3 linked regions of the Macaca mulatta genome follow. The protein of the gene in region 1 interacts with the protein of each later gene in a pairwise test. Links are inferred from orthologs where the notes say so. Each region holds a gene or a part of one and is shown on either strand. Other genes may lie near its edges.

Region 1 (2,842 bases):
GGAGGCTGCGGCAGGGCTGCTGGTCACTGTCAGGTGAGAAGATCTGCCCTGCCCAGCCCCCAGCATGCTGTCTTCACCTGTTACCTGTGGGCGGGGCTTGCCCCATGGGGTGGCAGGCTCAGCCAAATGCTCTCACCCTCTATGCCAGGGTTGAGTAAGGAGCCAAATACCTTGCGGGGCCCCCGTGTCCGCACAGCCTTCACCACGGAGCAGGTCCGCACCTTGGAGGGCGTCTTCCAGCACCACCAGTACCTGAGCCCTCTTGAGCGGAAGAGGCTGGCCAGGGAGATGCAGCTCTCAGAGGTCCAGGTGAGGCGGGCCGGGCTGAGGTGGGCAAGGGTGGGCCGGTGGCCTAGTCTCACCCCTGCTCTGATTTTGGTTTTCCTGCAGATAAAAACCTGGTTTCAGAATCGCCGGATGAAACACAAACGGCAAATGCAAGAAGTCCCGCCGAACAGCCCCTTCCTGGGGTCTCTCCACGTGCCCCCAGCTTTCCACTCACCGTCTTCTGGCCTTGCCAATGGCCTGCAGCTGCTGTGCCCTTGGGCACCCCTGCCTGGGCCCCAGGCTCTGATGCTGCCCCCGGGCTCCTTCTGGGGTCTCTGCCAAGTGGAACAGGAGGCCCTGGCCTCTACGGGGGCTTCCTGCTGCAGGCAACCTCTGGCGCACCACCCCCCAACCACAGGAAGTGGCCTGCCTGCACCGGGACCAGCCCTGTCCACGGGGCCCTGGGGCCTGTGCGCTCTGCCGGAGACAGGGGATGCCTTTTGAGGAGGCACCTCTGACTCTCTCCCACGCTCACGGTCTTGCGGATTGCACCTGGCTCCTACCTGGAGGACTCAGCTGTTGTGTTTACATCGTGGTGGCGCCTCTCACCCTGACCACACAAAGATTCTGGAGATTTCTGGAGAATAGATATATATGTATGTATCTATCTATCTCTATATATATGTATATGTGTATATATATGTATTTTTTTTTAAAGACAGAGTCTCGCTCTGTCGCCCAGGCTGGAGTGCAGTGGCGTGATCTTGGCTCACTGCAACCTCCACCTTCCGGGTTCAAGCGATTCTCCAGCCTCAGCCTCCTGAGTAGCTGGGATTACAGACGCACGCCACCACGCCCAGCTAATTTTTTCTATTTTTAGTAGAAACGGGATTTCACCATGTTATCCAGGCTTGTCTTGAACTCCTGACCTCGTGATCCGCCCGCCTTGGCCTCCCAAAGTGCTGGGATTACAGGCGTGAGCCACCACTCCCGGCCCTGAGAATATATTTATTAAAGCCACCTCTTCACTGAAAGTTACCAAAAGGGTCGGTTTAGGAAGTAAATGAAGGGTCAGTGAACAGAGTCAGATGCAGAAGTGGGCTTGTCATGGGTAGGGCTTTCAGCGTACGATAAAAGGATCGTTTGTTTTTTAAAAAGTGTTGGAAAAACTGGTTTTCCAGTTGGAAACAGTAAAGGTGGTAAGCTTTGTGTGTAAAAAAGAAAACCAGGAAGGATTGGAAGGGAATGCAGGTGTCGTGTTTACAGCCTTGTGGTTCAAGTCCCTCTTAACAAGAACTCCAAAGCTGGAAAGCAGGAGGGAACAGGTGAAAATGAAGGCGGGGATGCTGGGGTCCTGCAGTGTGCTCTGGGCGGTGCGTGAGCCGGGACTGCCCACGGCCTGCTGGGGGCTCTTCTCCAGCCGGGGAAGGTGGGGCAGCTGGGACCTGCGGCTGTGCCTGGACTGAAGCTGTCCCGCAGGTCCCCGCCCTCCAGCACCAGCTCACCTGCCCCCTCCTCACAGCAGCCTCGGGACAAAACAGAATGACTCAAGGACAGCACTTCCTGCAGAAGGTCTGGGAGTGCCCAGAATGGGAGGCTGGGAAGCCCCTCCCAGGGAGAACTCCCCCATCGATGGACCATTCTTGGTGCAGACTCCTGACTGCATGTGTGGAAACTTAGACAAGTGAGCGTCCGTCCACGTCGCCTCAGAGTGCCCGGGGGCAGGCAGTGCGGGGCGCCCAGGCGACAGGTTCAGCCTGCAGGACTGCGACCTGTGAAACCCACCCGGGCACCCCAACGGGAGCAGAAGCGTGGTCCTGCGGCCGCGTCCACAGCGAGTTCCACTTTCCCCTTGCTCGCTTCTGCCTTGTTGGAAGTGTTTACAGCTGGATGTGATTTTATAATACACCAGGTAAGAGGAGAACAGCTGCTGTGCGTCCGTCCTGGTGAGTGACCATGTGAGGGAAGCCTGGGCGAGGCCCTCGGAGGGCAGGGGCTGGACAGGGGCTCCTGGTGGGGCCTGGGCAGCACTGATTTGTGGATGTGGATGGGGGCACATCCGTGATAAAAGTACAAGAGCCCCTCGCCGCCCTTGGGGATTGCTCTCCGGTCCCCTGTGTGGCCCCGGGCCGCAAACCACAGTCTTGGCCCTGAACTCCCCCGGTGAGTAAGGGCCCTGGCCCGGTGTTGTCTTGACGTCCTGTCAGCACACTGGGCCCTACAAGGGGGACAGCCCATTGGGGCAGAGCTGGGCCTGTTCAGAGCCACACCTGGACCTTCTTAGGGCCCTGGCTCCATCCTGCAGATGAGGAGCTCTGGAAAAGGACAAAGTCCCGGAGGCTGAGGAGTGGAGCGGGTTCCAAGTGCCCAGCAGGGGCCTAGACCCTGAGTTCCGGGGGGTCCACAAGGCCCTCAGGCCCAGGGAAGGCTCTGCCACCAGTGATTTCCAAACTTCCCTCCCTGTTCCCCATCCGGGGCTGCAGGGACTTGGCCCAGGCCCCATGGGCTGCTGGTATCTGAGTGGACCTTGAAGACCAAGATGCCCCCAAGCCCTCCTCCACCCACCTGCTGCGTC
Region 2 (3,656 bases), on another chromosome or scaffold:
TCGGCCTCCCAAAGTGCTGGGATTACAGGCTTGAGCCACCGCGCCCGGCCCTACTACATCTAATTCTTTTCAGGTAATTCTGAAACAACTCAGAATCATACAAATAAGGCTTTCTCTTCTGTGAATTTTCTTCATTCCTTCTCATTCTCCTGGTTGATTTCTTGCTTCTCACTCATTTTTCTTCCTGTACAGTATTGTCAGTATTATTTTCCATTTTAATTCCAAACTCCATCTTCTTAGTTATGTTAGTTATATATGGCTTTCTCTCCTTTTTCTCACTTAGATGATCTTCGTCAACATCTACCTCCTCCCACACCCCGAACTGTGATCCTATTGATTCAGAGCTACTGAAGTCTATAGAGCCCTTAGTCTTTGAGTGTACCAACCCAACCTGCATAATCAGCACCATGGACAGAGGTGCTTGCAAGGATTAATGGGTTTAGAAGACAAAAGAACTGTCCTAAATTTAGCCATAAAATTAAAACTAAACACATCTCTTTTTATAAAACATGAAAGATTAACTTTCCTTTAGAATGTTGTGACTTCACTTGATATTCTATGCTAAAATGTGACAAAAAGAAAAAAAAGACTCGCAAAGATTTTAAGAAGAGAATTCAAAGGTAGTCACAGAATTTTAAAGCCGGGAGGGGGGGCACCATGGAGATTATCTAGTCGATTTCCTTTGTTTTATAGGTGATGGGGTTAAATGACTTATCCAAAGTCACATAGTTCATTCATTTTAGAAGCTGGATACTGGAAAGAGATGGGTAGCTTCTCCATTGAAGGTCATATAACTGTTCCAGACAAAACAGATACTGAATTTAAAAATCTAACATCTTTCTTTGTAAAGTTATGAAGAAAAGAAGTCTCTCTTTTTCATGTAATACAGCCTCTCTAGGTGACGGGGGGAAACCATATTTTCTTATCTCAGGTAATAAGTGAGAGGACTTTTGCCCTATCTCTGGCAAGATGCCCTCCAAACATTTACATATAGAGGGAAGCTATAAATCTGTGTTATTAAGAAGGGAATTACTTATCTGTATTCAAATGTATAGATTAAGGTTGCCAAATTTTTGGAATTAATTAATGCAAATTAAAGTGCCTAACCTATAGTGAATGTTAGATTTAGTCAGTATGAGTATCCCATCATCAAATTTCATTAGCCCACCATAAGACAAAAGTATGAGGCTTTTAAATAAAAATTGTGAGGGTAGGGGGAGAAATGATCTTTTTAAAATGATATACCCATAGAAGCTTCTGAAGAGTAATAAGGTGAGAAAGATGAAATAGTTACATATTAATTTTGTAACTATATAACAATTAGCCACCATCTCTATTACAGGACTGTGATCCTTCTTGTGCTTTCCCTCAGATATGATTATGATGTCACTGACCTACTGCCAGGGGATATTAGCCTTTTGGGTTGCTTTTCCTGGATGAGTAGTGAGTGTGTAACTAGCACAGAGAGCCTCTCCTGTGACCAACCAGTACCTATTTGCAAGATGGCTGTCTGAGGTCAGGGTATGGTCTATGGCCATGAAATGGAGCAAAGCCAATTAGGCCATATGTGGATCAAGCCTGTGACCTTGACCTCATTAGCACTGTGCTCTGCCCAGCTTGACTAACTAGCCCCAGATGGTTAAGCTTAATGCAACATTTTGCATACAAGTAGCCTCGAGCACATTCAGGTCAATCCAAATTTTTGAACTGAGGACTTTTTATGTCCGGCTTGATACAAAAGAGCTTGAGCTTGATGTTTTTCTTCTTTCTTATGGTTAAAGAAGAATGGTGAACTTTATTCTAGACTTATTGAAACTCAATACCTCTTTTGGGCTGCTCTGTCTCCTCCTCTCTTCAATTATGAGAGAAGTTGTAAAGTGCCATATCCTGACCTCACTTGCTTTGGCAAGTTTAACAAGCCATTGTGGTAGAAACAAGGTATTGCCCAGAGGCCACGAGAATTCATTTGGTATTTGCTTCCAATTCCACAGGGTCCTTCTTCTGACACACACGTTGACAGCCTGAGAACTTGCAGAAAATTTTCTACAGTTTTACACATTAAAAAATCTTGGTGGCTCTTTGTTTGGAGACTGGTCACACCTTCCTTTTTTCTTTTTTACTTGAGAGACTATTTTTAGAGTGGTCATTTTCAAATAAACTCAGTTGAAAATATTTTATGGTAACTTGCAATAAACTGAAAAGCTCTTTGGATTATAAGAAGAGTGTAAGTTGCTGTACTAACCTTTAAAAAGATTATAGCTATACCTGATGCAAATGATGAGTTGATGGGTGCTGACGAGTTGATGGGTGTAGCACACCAACATGGCACAAGTATACATATGTAACAAACCTGCACGTTGTGCACATGTACCCTAGAACTTAAAGTATATATAAAAAAGAAAAGATTATAGCTAATAGGAAATGTATGTCTGGCTACACACGTCCACACAAATGCCTATGTATACATGTATATCACAACAAAGATTAACTAAAAATACAAAGCAGGGTTGAACCCTTGGAGAGTATGAATCATCAAATAGGTCAATTTAAGTTAAGAAGAGATACTAGTTCAGTAGTATAAGTCTCCAGTATATTTTGTAGTGATAATTTCCAAAGTGAAAAAAAATTGGCCAACTTTGAGAATTAGAGGACATTAGAATTTGATGTGCTTAGAGTATCTAATAAGAATACATTGTTTAGGCCAGGCACATTGGCTCACACCTGTAATCTCAGCACTTTGGGAGGCTGAGGCGGGCAGATCACGAGGTCAGGAGTTTGAGACCAGCCTGACCAATATGGTGAAACCCCGTCTCTACTAAACATACACATACACACACACAAATTAGCTGAGCATGGTGGCTCATGCCTGTAGTCCCAGCTACTCGGGAAGCTAAGGCAGAAGAATCCCTTGAACCCGGGAGGTGGAGGTTGCAGTGAGCCAAGATTGTGCCACTGCACTCCAGCCTGGGTGACAGAGCGAGACTCCGTATCAAAAAACAGCAACAACAACAACAACAACAAAAACAAAAAACATTGTTTTAGCTTTTACCCCTGCTACTTCTCCCATTCTGATTTCTGAGCTTTCTGTTTTATTCATCTATATAGGAGGATGTTTCCTGCCATGAGAGTGAAAATCACTGGCCTAGATCCACATCAGCAGTACTACATAGCAATGGATATTGTGCCTGTGGACAATAAGAGATACAGGTAACAATAACTGGGATGTGGAAATGTGGGTACACCAGCATTCCAAGACAATTCTTCAAACTCCTTAGAGGAAATATTTTAACAATGCATACTGTACAGGGAACAAGGAATGGAGACTATGTCAATGGCCTGTGGCAGAGCACCAGGTGGAAAAAGTGTTAACTTTGACCTGGGATTCCCTGCTATGTCTCTGGATAGAATGGGACTGTATAGTGTCTCCCAAGGTAGCAAAAATCAAGTGGATCTTAAGTCTAAATTTAATTTAATTAATATTGGAAGTGATTAACATATTGAATAATTTGGTTTGTGAAATGCTAAATAAATTGGGGTGATTTATTTTGGAAAGAGGAAGGAGAGGTGGAACAATAAAGCATATTAAAATGTATATTTGATGGATTACCCCATAGATGATGGAGAGGAAGAACAGGAGAACTGGGTAAAATTTCAGG
Region 3 (3,656 bases), on another chromosome or scaffold:
CCCAAATTTTTAAAGTTTGCATTCACTTTTATTTCAAGAAACCACACCAAAATCTATGTGTCATAAGCTGGCTATACATAAATAAATGAACGAATGCATGAGTAAACTAACAAAATCTTAAGAAGCAGAGTAATACGGTGGAAAAATACTAGGCTTACGTTCAGTTCAATACCACTTTGTCTATTGTCTTCAACCTTGAGCCTCACTTTCATTATCCATCAAACAGGTCTAACAAAATTTGTCATTAAGCATTATTATAAGTCTAAAAATAAACATGGAACATATGAAGAAGGTTTGTATGTTATCAGTGGTACCTATATTTGTAGCTCTTAGTAGTAATAGTAGTAGTAATAGTAGCAATAGTAGTAATAGTAATATAAACAAAGAAGCCTGATTAATGCAAGCGAGATGAGTTATCTGACCCCTGAAACCCTACCTCCAGACATAAGTTATGGCTCTCATTGGGTTTTATGTCTTAAGTGAGGGGCACTCACGTGAGTTGGTCGATGGTGTGGTAGAAGTCACAGGGGTCAAATTCAACTGGGAGATGTCAAAGTCATCACAGTCGTCTGTATCCTGTGCCACCCCGACTTTGTTGAAGTAACTGGAGAAGGCCTCTGAGGTACAGGTGAGGGAGGGCTGGTCGGGTTTGCGGGAGGGCACGGGTGGAGGCTGGGCCATCTGGAAATCCTTAAATGTTTCTTTCCCCATTTTCTGCCTGGGCTTGTCGGTCTGTGGACTTGACCTGGTGGAGTCACTCGTGCCTGGGACGGTGGCAAGGGGGGTGAGGGGACCTTGGAACATGGCAGCTGGCAAAGGCATAACAGTTTGTGTGGGCATGAAGGCGGCTGGCGGAAACTGCCCGGCCACAGTTGGCCAGGGCTGCTGAGTGGCAGGGAAGAGACCCGGCTGGCCCCATGCGATGGGCTGAGCCCCCGGCATCACCTGAGCGACTGGTGGCTGGGCACCCATGACCATCTGCTGTTGGACGAGGGGCTGCTGGCCCCAGAAGGACGGGAGGACAGCGCCCATTGCAACGTAACCTGGGAGAATGAAAAAGAAGAGTCAGGTGTCCTGAGAAAGAAGGATGCATGGACTCAGGTAATTGACAGAAATGTATCAAGCACCAACTAAGTGCCAGACTGTGTGCCAGGGACTGGGGATGCCAAGATGAACAAGACAAAAGTCCTTGCTGTCTTGGAGCCTATATCCTAGAGAAGTGGTCAGGGAAAGCCTCTCTGAGGAGATGATCTGTAAGCAAAAACTAGAATGCTAATAATCACATTTCTGTAGTTGTTAGAAGTTTCTAAAGTCTCATAGCCTCAGAAGCTGTGTGTCTCAGGGACAGGGCAGAAGGACGGAAGGCAGGCCGTCCTGGGTTTTCTCCTTGCCTCCTCTTCCTGCTGCACTTAGGACCCTCTCAATTGCGTAAGCTCTTTAAGAGTCTGACTCTTTGTTGTAAAACCAGGTTATAATACCGTCCTTCGCAGGCCTGAGGCAGTGTGCAAAGTGAGTAATAATCTGAATGTTGGAGTTTTAGAGACCTAGGTTAAAATTCAAACAGCCACCTCTTAACTGTGTAATTTGGGGAGTAGTTCTTAAATCTCTCTAAGGCTCTATGACCTTATTTGTAAAATGGGTATAAACACCTTCTACCTTGCTAGGTTGATTTGAAGATTAATTGAGAGTACATATTTAAAATGTGGAGTATTGTACCGGACACAGGATCAACATTCAGTAAATGTTAGTTACTAGTATGGTTTGGATTAGATAGAGGCTAGAGAGTTACTTATTACATTGCTTGATATACAAAAGACATGTAATAAATGGCAGCTAGAGGTATTATGCATGATTTCTGTATTATTATTATTCCAATTTTGGAGAATTAAAAAAATAGGGCCAGATGTGGTGGCTTATGCTTGTAATCCTAACACTTTGGGAGGTCCAGGTGGGAGGATTGCTTGAGGCTCAGAGTTTGAGATCAGACTTAGTAACACAGCAAGGCCTCATCTCTACCAAAAATTTTTAAAAAGTAGTGAGGAATGGTGGCACATGCTCAGAGTCCCATTGTCTCAGCACTCAGGAGGCTGAGGCGGGAGGATCACTTGAGCCCAAAAGTTTGAAGCAGCACTGAGCTGTGATTATACCACTGCACTCCAGCTTGGGTAACAGAGTGAGACACTTGTCTCAAAAAAAAAAAAAAAAAAAAAAGAAGGTTATTGTCCACTCAGGGGCACCTCATACATCAGTATAAGTTACACACTGCAAAACCCCATAGCCTGTACTCATGTGTATTACCATGATAATTGTTCACTGTATTATTCTTTTTAGGTAAGACATATACATTTTAACAGGAGCACAAGTGACACGTGTTACAATAATAATAGTAACATAGCAGTAACAGCAACAAGCTCCACTTATTAAATGCCTACAACATGCCAGATACACTAGTATGTGTTTTGCGTCTTCACGAAATTCCGGCAGGGTAGGTATTGTTATCTCTATTTTAGGGATGAAGAAATTGGTGCTCAAGGAAAAGCAACTTGCTCAGGGTCATACAGGTTGCATGAGGTAGGAGCAGGATCAAACTGAGGTTGTCTGTTCCCCCAAAGCCAGGGTTCCTTCCTTTGTGCCACACACTGCCTCACCCAGATGGCCAAGACCAATTTCCGATCTTTGCAGTTAATAGACCTTGCCTACTATTTGATTGTATTTGGATACTGCAGGCCTGCAGGAAATTCACATGTGCTTCCAGGGGTCCCCACCCTTCTCAGGGGGCACAATGGCCACCTCTATGTGCAGTTGAGCCTGAGAGACAAGTTCCCAGGCTGGGCAGAGCAGAGAATAGAGAAGCCAGCTTTGCCTGGGCCTCTCAAAACAAGCCTTTCCATGGCTGTCAGTAGGAAGATACCGATGCAGTGTAATGAGACCAGGAAAAAAAGAGGAATGGAGGCAGAGTATCCTAGCAACTTCCAAAGGGACAATGGGTGGGCGTTATGGCATTGATGACATTATGAGTCATCTCACTGACTCTTGTGAGCCCAGAGAGATGGAACGCAGGGTGTCTCACTCCATACTCCAGTCACAGATATACCTGCCTTCAACTGACTGATACAGGCTAGAGCCAACATTCAAGGCCTGGTGATTTTCCTTGCAAGGTGCCCGTTTCCTCTCATGCCATGCTTCCCTAACAGCAGGCTCCAGAAAGGCACCAATAGGACACCTGTGCTTCTTGCTGATTAATCTCGCAGTGTTAAATACTTCTGCGGAATGAGACAAGGATGTCAACAAAAAAAATGGAGAATATCTTATAAGACTACTTTGTCCAACTGCACTGAAGCAAGAGGGATGAAGAGGCCCTGGAGCTGAAACTTCAAACGTGAAGCTTGCTTAGCTTGCCTCACCCATGGCATGATAATGTAGTGACTTAAATCTACCAACAGATGAAGAATCCTGCAACTCAGTCTTGTTTTCCGATTTACTTTGATATGTCCCAGTGGTTCTCAGTGGGAGTACTACTGCCCCCTAGGGGTGGCTAGAAAATTGGTGGGACGTGTTTTGGTTGTCACAAGTGGAGGGGGTTACACTACTGGCATTTAGGAGACCCAAGCATTGACAGTAGACATCTCACTATGTGTGAGACCAATGCGTATGAC

The links. The genes of interacting proteins can lie anywhere in the genome.
Region 2: the proteins of VENTX (region 1) and TBX15 interact in binary tests that used the Homo sapiens proteins (3 or more experiments, as listed by UniProt). The two-hybrid records come from large-scale screens. The link is inferred for Macaca mulatta from reciprocal best matches to the Homo sapiens genes VENTX and TBX15.
Region 3: the proteins of VENTX (region 1) and DAB1 interact in binary tests that used the Homo sapiens proteins (3 or more experiments, as listed by UniProt). The two-hybrid records come from large-scale screens. The link is inferred for Macaca mulatta from reciprocal best matches to the Homo sapiens genes VENTX and DAB1.

The regions. Positions count from the first base shown.
Region 1 is NC_133414.1:145,338,404-145,341,245, forward strand, and holds the end of VENTX (homeobox protein VENTX), read left to right. Parts: intron 1-148; coding exon 149-309; intron 310-390; coding exon 391-771; 3' UTR 772-2,193; downstream 2,194-2,842. UniProt on the Homo sapiens protein: May be involved in ventralization.
Region 2 is NC_133406.1:121,385,799-121,389,454, forward strand, and holds part of TBX15 (T-box transcription factor TBX15), read left to right. Parts: intron 1-3,105; coding exon 3,106-3,207; intron 3,208-3,656. UniProt on the Homo sapiens protein: Probable transcriptional regulator involved in the development of the skeleton of the limb, vertebral column and head. Acts by controlling the number of mesenchymal precursor cells and chondrocytes.
Region 3 is NC_133406.1:183,611,462-183,615,117, reverse strand, and holds part of DAB1 (disabled homolog 1), read right to left. Parts: intron 1,044-3,656; coding exon 495-1,043; intron 1-494. UniProt on the Homo sapiens protein: Signaling adapter of the reelin-mediated signaling pathway, which regulates the migration and differentiation of postmitotic neurons during brain development.